2 linked regions of the Tribolium castaneum genome follow. The protein of the gene in region 2 purifies or fractionates together with the protein of the main gene of each other region. This does not show direct contact. Links are inferred from orthologs where the notes say so. Each region holds a gene or a part of one and is shown on either strand. Other genes may lie near its edges. The genes, in order: E3 ubiquitin-protein ligase COP1 and kay.

Evidence for each region.
Region 1: the proteins of kay (region 2) and E3 ubiquitin-protein ligase COP1 purify together in Homo sapiens (affinity purification with mass spectrometry; 3 studies listed by BioGRID and IntAct, counting the BioPlex papers as one, with this or other methods). This does not show direct contact. The link is inferred for Tribolium castaneum from reciprocal best matches to the Homo sapiens genes FOSL2 and COP1.

The regions. Positions count from the first base shown.
Region 1 is NC_087397.1:2,837,167-2,841,091, reverse strand, and holds the start of E3 ubiquitin-protein ligase COP1, read right to left. Parts: upstream 2,717-3,925; intron 2,660-2,716; coding exon of another isoform or gene 2,544-2,659; intron 2,208-2,543; 5' UTR 2,170-2,207; coding exon 181-2,169; 3' UTR 1-180. UniProt on the Homo sapiens protein: E3 ubiquitin-protein ligase that mediates ubiquitination and subsequent proteasomal degradation of target proteins.
Region 2 is NC_087396.1:20,446,658-20,450,582, forward strand, and holds the start of kay (kayak), read right to left. Parts: upstream 2,405-3,925; 5' UTR 2,192-2,404; coding exon 2,060-2,191; intron 1-2,059.

The sequences.
Region 1 (3,925 bases), on a different chromosome or scaffold from region 2:
AGATAGTAACGCTATAAAAACAGTAAATATTTTCGCCCCCTGTACGTAAAAAATAAAATAGTCCCCCATCCAAGTTTTAGTTATTAAACCGATTTTTCCTGTGCACATCCTGTAACGAAATTTACAATCCGGGATATGCCAAGAACAGTTGATTGTCCTAATGCCGTGCTAGACTATCACCTAAACCAGTTCCAAAATATTAATAATCCCTTGACTGTTCGCCGCAACGACAACATTCGAATTCTGCTTCCAGCAAACAGCCGAAACGAATTCGTTCATATCATCCTCCCGCCTTTCCTGATCCAAGACCCCTTGAATCGCTTCAAACTTATAACTAAACAACTTTTTACTCAAGCCTTTGTAATAAATATACATGGCGTTATTCTCCGAGCCGCAGGCGACATAATCGCCGTCCGTCGCCAATCCGATAAAATTCTTCTCGTTAATGTGTCCGACAAACGACCGAAGGCAATACGGAGTATTAACATTCCACAATTTAAGCTGCGAGTCGGTCGACGCCGACACGATATCCTCACTATTGAGAAACTTGACGTAACTCACTGCCTTCTTGTGGCCCTTGAACACGGCCACCGCCTCCTTCATGTTCCTCAAGTCGTAGTAATGAACACAATGATCAGCGCTACCGAACGCTAAGTGACAAGAACTCCTCGGATTGAACTTAACACAACAAACGTTCGCTTTGGCTTCGAGAGTCGCGATCGAGTGCTCACCGTTGAGCGAGTATAACTTAACGCGCGCATCGTCCGAACCCGAGGCGATCAACCGAGTATCAACCTCATTGAAATCAACACTCCAACAGCGCTTCTCATGCTCTTGGTAGGTCTTGGTGCGCTGACCGGTCGAAGCGTCCCAAATCGTCACAGTCCCTTCGTAATCACTACTCGCCAGAATACTCTTATGGTACGTGTTCCAACTCACGCACGAGATTTTCGACTTGGAGAGCATTTCAATACAGGGATAGTGTATATCGACCGTATCCTTAATCACAGCACCGTAATCGAAAACTTTGATCTTTTTCGTCACTCCAGCAATCGCCAGGAACTCGTTATCCTTATCGAATTCGATACTCGAGACTATGGTCGAATTGTTGAACAAATCACTCGAGTAGTTCAACGTTGCGAGGACCCGGAGCGAGTTATAGCGCGAGAATTTGATCAAATTCTCCCGGAATTCGTCGAGACCCGTATTAATAGTAGTCTTAGTCTTATCGACCCCGTCTTTGCCGAAGAACAAGTCTTTGGAGCGTGAGGTGAAGTAACAGTCGACGAAGTCGTCAAAGTGGGCGTGCATCCGCCGCCGGCGCATCGCCAGCGAGGTCGAACCTAGCCGAAGCGGGGCGTCGGGATTCGTCGTGTCATCTTTGCGACCAGTCGAACTACCTATAGTATCAATCAAATCGATCATTTCCTTCTTCATCGCACTGACATCGGCATTGTCCGCCGCCGACGCCACCGTCCGCTCCACATCCTCCAAAGTCGGGCACTTGCTATGCACCTCCTTCAACTTATTGTAAACCTCCTCAATGTCATGCTCAATAATCGCAATCTCCTTGATAATCTGCGCCTGCCGCTCCTTCTTTTGCTTAAGCAAGTGCTTCAAAAACTCCAAAAGGAGGCGGTTTTGCGCGGCACACGACTCCGCCTCCAGGAGTTGCTTCCGTTGCGTCAGAACCTCCAACATTACGTTAACGTCCGGCAACGTTAAATTCTGCGATTCCGTTGCCACAAAATCCCGTAAACCGTCGGCCGACGTCCCGAACTCCCCCGAACTGTCGCGGTTCAAGCCCAAAGCCTCGAAGTTGTTCAAGCGAGTCTTGTGCTTTCTGATCAGTTCGTTGAGGAGGAAGTTCGGGAAGATCATGTCTTCGCCGGTGACCGGGGCGTTGCATTTGGGGCAGCGTTTGAGGGCTTCGATCGATTTTAAAATGCAGGTGTAGCAGAACGTGTGGCCACATTTCGTAATGTAAGCCTCCTCGATCAGGTTGAAGCAGACGGGGCAGGAAAAATCGGTCGTTTTCTCCTCGAAGGAGCCGCCCCCGGCTGTCGAACGCTGACGCTTTGGGGTGCGAATCGACGAGCGATTTGTCGGCACGTTCGAACTACTGTGCGAAGAGGCGGAACTACTACGACCGTCGCGGCTTGAAGCCATTTTGACGACTTAGAGGTAGTTAAGAGAAAAACATCGACCTGAAACAAGAACTGGAGTAGTATTGAGGAGCGACAATTCGGACGGTTCCTGACCCGAAAACCTGAAACGGGGACAGAAATCGCCTAAATTGTTACTTGAAAACACTCAATACTACTGGATTGGTTAAACTGACGGGATCAAGTTTCAGGTCAGGTTTTTCAATTTGCACGAAAAGGGCCAAGACAATAAAATAATCGCTACGTGTATAAAAAACGATAAAGCTTTCTATTTTGTGCCAAGTTTCATTAATTACTCCCATGTTTTCACATTATGTAATGTTTAATTCCGCTTGGACTTGTCCTCTAATGCAATAAAAACGCTATGACGCTACTTACAGTTTAATTTGTTCTAAAAGCCTGCCTTGACACTTCTGGTTGTACTTTTCAGCAGCGGGGGTTAGCTCCAACCCTTCACATTCATCATCACTGTACACGCCCAAGACTAAGCCTTTCTAAAACGAAACGAACGCAAATCACTCAATTGCATTGCTTCTAATGATAAAACCTACTTTTTCCGGGCAGGCTGAAGAGCATGGTCTGAAAAAGTATCTGCTGGAGACGGATAACCTGAGTAACTTTTTACACGTTAGAGATAAAGCCATACTTGATGGTGACACAAAATATGGGTGGTTTGAGTGTGGGGTGATTTGGTTGAGGGTGGTTTAAAAATCGTATACGTTTCGTCTTTCGATTATGTGGAACTTTAGTGTTGAAAATCCAAAAATCAACAAATCACAAAATTGATTTTTGACAGGTCTGCCGGGCCGACAGGAGTGACAAACGCCAGGAGGCGCTCCTAACGCACAAAAAATGTTTCTGGAAAGGTTGGATATTCGTAGATAACGCCTTATCTTTAGGTCTATTTTGTATGCAATCGACAGTATTTAAATAAAATGCTCAGAAAAAGTGCGAGCCTTTAATTTGCGCTGATAACTGTATTAGATAAAAAAATTATTGGGGAGTGGAATCACCTTAGTTTTTGTGACTTGGTGGAAAAAAAATGGCGGCAAATTCAAAATACATTTTTTATTCAGTTAATTAAGACACAATTTGTGTTGTCCATGTTTTCCGCTAAAGGGTTTTGTAACTTAAAAAGCGGTACCATCGAGGCGTACTAATGCCATATCACCTGTATTTCTGCTATTTTCTTTATTTTGTTTATTGAGGTTATGTGAGACTTTCTTTGACCAAGTGCTCCACTTTTAGATTAAGTTTTTTGTACCTTACATGTGAAATATTTTAGTAAAATGAGCACTCGAGAGTTGGCCCGGTGAGAAAAATTATAATTAAATTAAAGATAAGCTTATTATTGCAATTTCAGAAAACTGGGTGCTTTAGAAGTAATTTATTCAACCGCTAAGGCCACGACTCCCCAGCCTTTTGACTACCTCCTCGTCCTTGACTTTGAAGCCACTTGCTGGAGTAACGGCGACCCGAGAAAAAATCCGGCCGAAATAATCGAATTTCCGGTCGTTCTTTACGACGTAAAAAACGCTAAAATAATCGCAGAGTTCCAGCAATACGTAATGCCAGTCGAGAATCCCAAATTGAGCGACTTTTGTACCGAGCTCACAGGTAAAAAACATTGTGCCCCAAGCCCCACTGATGATTTTTTACAGGAATACAGCAACACCAAGTTGATAACGGGGTCCCCCTTCAAGCTTGTTTGCTTCTGTTTTCGCGTTGGGTTGCCGAAAAAATGAGATTATATGACATGG
Region 2 (3,925 bases):
TATATTTGTTGCTTCTTGCCCCCTTAATCCACATAAACATCGAAACATCAAAGTTTGTTTGGAATTTTTTACACAGATTCTGTTTCTTTGCTAATAAAAAAATGCAATGACTTTATAGAAAAAAAATACAAGAACACAATCAAATTTGTGTTTCAAAATTTGATCATTCTATTGTATAGCTGAGTTAGTCAAATAATATGTAAGGGAGAAATTCTCTAGAATAGCAAGTTTTCATGTAAAATCCCGTAGATAATTTTAGTAGTCTAGAATCTAATAATTTTTCAGTTTTTTCAATACAAAAGCAATTATATTTCTGTACATTTTTAACAACTGAGGCAATTACCCACCTACATACCTAGTATTTTCCGACTCTTTTCAAATATTTGTATTTCCAACTTTTCAATTACACTAGTTTACAAATAATAAATAAATATAAAATAATAACTTCTTTTATAGTACACCTTTGATCCCCTTTTATTTTTTTATAAGGGAAACTGACCCAAAAAAGTACAAAAAACAATGTAAAAATTTGACCTGACCTGACCTGACCTGATATTAAAAAAAGTACAAAAAATACCGCAAAAGCATTCATTTAAAATTTTTTATTTGGCTATTTAACAATAAAATATCGGTATTTCTTAAATCTGACGTGTTGCATTTTTTTTTAATTTTTCTTAACTTAGTGCCTCATAAATTATAATCTATAAGAAATGATGACTTTCAATTAAGGTATATAATAAATCGTGTAAACTAGCGTTATTTAAGTGATGCGAGAACACTTTTTTATTTCTATTGTTTTCTTTATATTCTTTAAGGTAAAATTTTAGCCCATTTTACCCCACTTTCCCCTACAGCCCAATTTTTTTATAGGATTATAAAAAAAGTTGTTTTATAGCCATTATAATGTATAAACATTTAAAATAAAATTTATCATTTGAAATATCTAGTTTTAATTCTAAAAAATGAAGAAGGTTAGAGCTTAAGAAATAAGAAAACTTTCTGGACTTTTTTTCTTGGGTAACTCAATCCCAAAACGTTCGAAATCCAGAATATTTGGAAAAATTAATTGCTGGATCCGCCCCTGGGGTCTGGGGGGTTGCGATTCAGAAAAAAATCTCAAAAAATTTACATCGTCAAGCGATTGTAAAATGAAATATAAGAAAAATAGATTAAAAAAATTGAATACTAGATATTTATTTTACTTTTTTTAGCTAAAATCTTATCTTATTATAGAAACTTCAGATTTTATAACTTATTTTCCAATTATCCACTGATTTTTGTCGGATATTTAGTAACAAATTTGAAATCTAAAGTTGACAATACTGATCATAAAATGTCAAAATTTTATACTCAATTGTCATTCACATTCATTAACTCAGTGTTACCAATATTTTTTTGACAATCTATTGTTCTTACTGTCCTTTTTTTAGCATATTGTAAAGTCCTGAAAACTATTTCAGTAATTCGTTCTAAACAAACATTATTATTAAAATGTCAGTTACAAAAAACACGAAAAAATCACAGAACAGATTCAATAAGTAAATATTTTTGCTTTCAATTTTAAAACATGCAAAAAAGTATCAATATTTTTGACAGAAATTGGCCGTTTTTACAAGAGCTTATTATTGCAGTTTCATTTCCATCATAAAATCAATTACAGAAATTGTCATTTTGCCACAATTAACATAAGAATATTAATTAGGAAGTTATTAAAAACGTATTATTTAAAGCCCATTTCAGTGTTAATGAGACAGGCCATAAAACCAATGTTTTTCCACGTTTCCCAACTAAAAAATGTTTTGCAAACACAAATAATCAAATGGCATTAGTCCAAAACAATCGACTTTTGAGGTTAGATCCGTGTTAAGCACATTTCCCAAAGTGGGCGTAGAGTCTCAAAGCGAACAAAGCCAGAAGAGAAAGTTAATTTATTGTTTACACTCGGTCTCCTTTACAACAAAATCCAATTCATGTGCAGTCTAATTGGACTTTAACGACAGTCGGTGAAGGTCGAGCCCAGATGGTCGAATCAACACCCATAAAAGGAAGCCCAACTTACCGTGGTCGTGGGCGTCAAAAGGACTCCGTTGCCCATCGAAGTCATGAAGTCCGCCGTCGACATCTGCGAGTTCTGGCTGTCGTTGGAGAAGTCCGAGTTGTTGGACATCCCATCGCTCAGCTCCAGCTTCATTTCGTTATCAATGGTCCTGATAGCGAGAGTTGTACAACCTTGAGCGAACAGCTGTTGTTCCAGCGGTGGTTCGCCCCGATGACTGCGCCCCAGCACACCAACGGACACTTGTTACGCCGACAGCCCCCCGAATCCGCGCAAAATCATAAGAAAACACGACCGGATGACTCACGAAGGGAAACCCTTTCCCAGAACCACTGGCTATGATGTCAGAACTAAAAATATCCGAATGACTAAAGAACTTTGCGCCAATGGCGAACCCACAACTAGCGAAATCACACGAACGGGGGCGGAGCCGCACGAAGCTGCCACGTTCTAGCCAGGAGGATAATGTTTTCGCAGAACGATGACTCATCTCGCTTTTGATTTGCTGCATGTTATTTAATTTTGAAGAGGAGCGATTTTTGTGTGTTTTGCTTGATTTTTTTTACCGGAAACGCAACCACAATTGATAAGAATGACTCACTTTGTATGTTTTTTATGCTTAAACGTTTCAGATAAAAAACATATAATAGTGCACCGATATATACACCGCACAAACAATGCATTCATGCCTATTCAAAATCAAGTTTAATGAGCTTGATAAAGGTGGAATAACACAATAGTGTTAATTAAGGCAGGTAATTTGGAAATAAGGCATGTGGAGTAAACATTTGGTGCTAAACTAATCATTTGAATTGTAATTTTTCAGGTACATAAGATGATGTTGACTGCAATTATTGAACTTCCTTCACACCTAGCTGTTTGTTACGGAAGATTACTAATTGGCACGAATAAATAAAATGATTCACTAAAAATGCACACCTACTTCAGGGTACACACCCACGATCTAAATTTTTTCTACAAAAAAAGATACAAAAAGTTATTGTTTTTTAAAGTAAAGTAATCGTTTATTTACACCAGTTTACACAAAAGAAGAGGTCATTGTATTTATTAGTCGTGGCAGGCAACCAGTTATACAAGCTTTGTGGGGGTTCTCTCAAATAAGATGTCTCCATATTCTGATTTTTATCACTATATCATTTCTGTTGATAGAAAAATTGTACAATTTACTTTTTTTGGTGACATTTCTAAATCAGATAAACATTAAAGAAGGAATATACAACATACGATAAGAACTAAAAATAGTATAAATTCACTGCAGTGGACTACTCGAAAAAAAGATAAATATGTGCAAGGTTTCATAACGGTAGAAAAAGAAAATGCTCGATAGAATGAAACAAAAAAAGACAAATACATACATAATGAAACAAAACAGCAGACTCCAAATAAGGGGTCTAGTAAAATATAAAAGTAAGATATAGAAGTTGCTTCAGGTGAATTAAAACACGGAATTTTTAAATACATATAAAATTATTTGGTAAAAAAACGCTCCAGTTCCGTATCTATAAATTAATTCACCGATAAAATAATTCACCAACAAAATAAATTATTGTCTTCTTTTTACTGCAGTCAAATTGTTTTTATTCGATTTGCTTCTTTTTCTGTCTTCTATCCTCTATACTTAGAGAATTCCTACATCTCTCTGTTTTTTGTTTCTATTCCTGCTTTTTGTGTTTTCTTTTTTTCTATTCTACATTATCTTTATATAATCTATTTTCTATTCTATGCTCTATTCACTATCCGAAACTGTATATTGGCAAGCATTTCTTTATTAATCTAAGGGGTTTCTCAAGCGAAATTTGCTCGTAATCCAGCGAGTTTCAGTTATTTAGAAAAAATCTTTAGGAATAC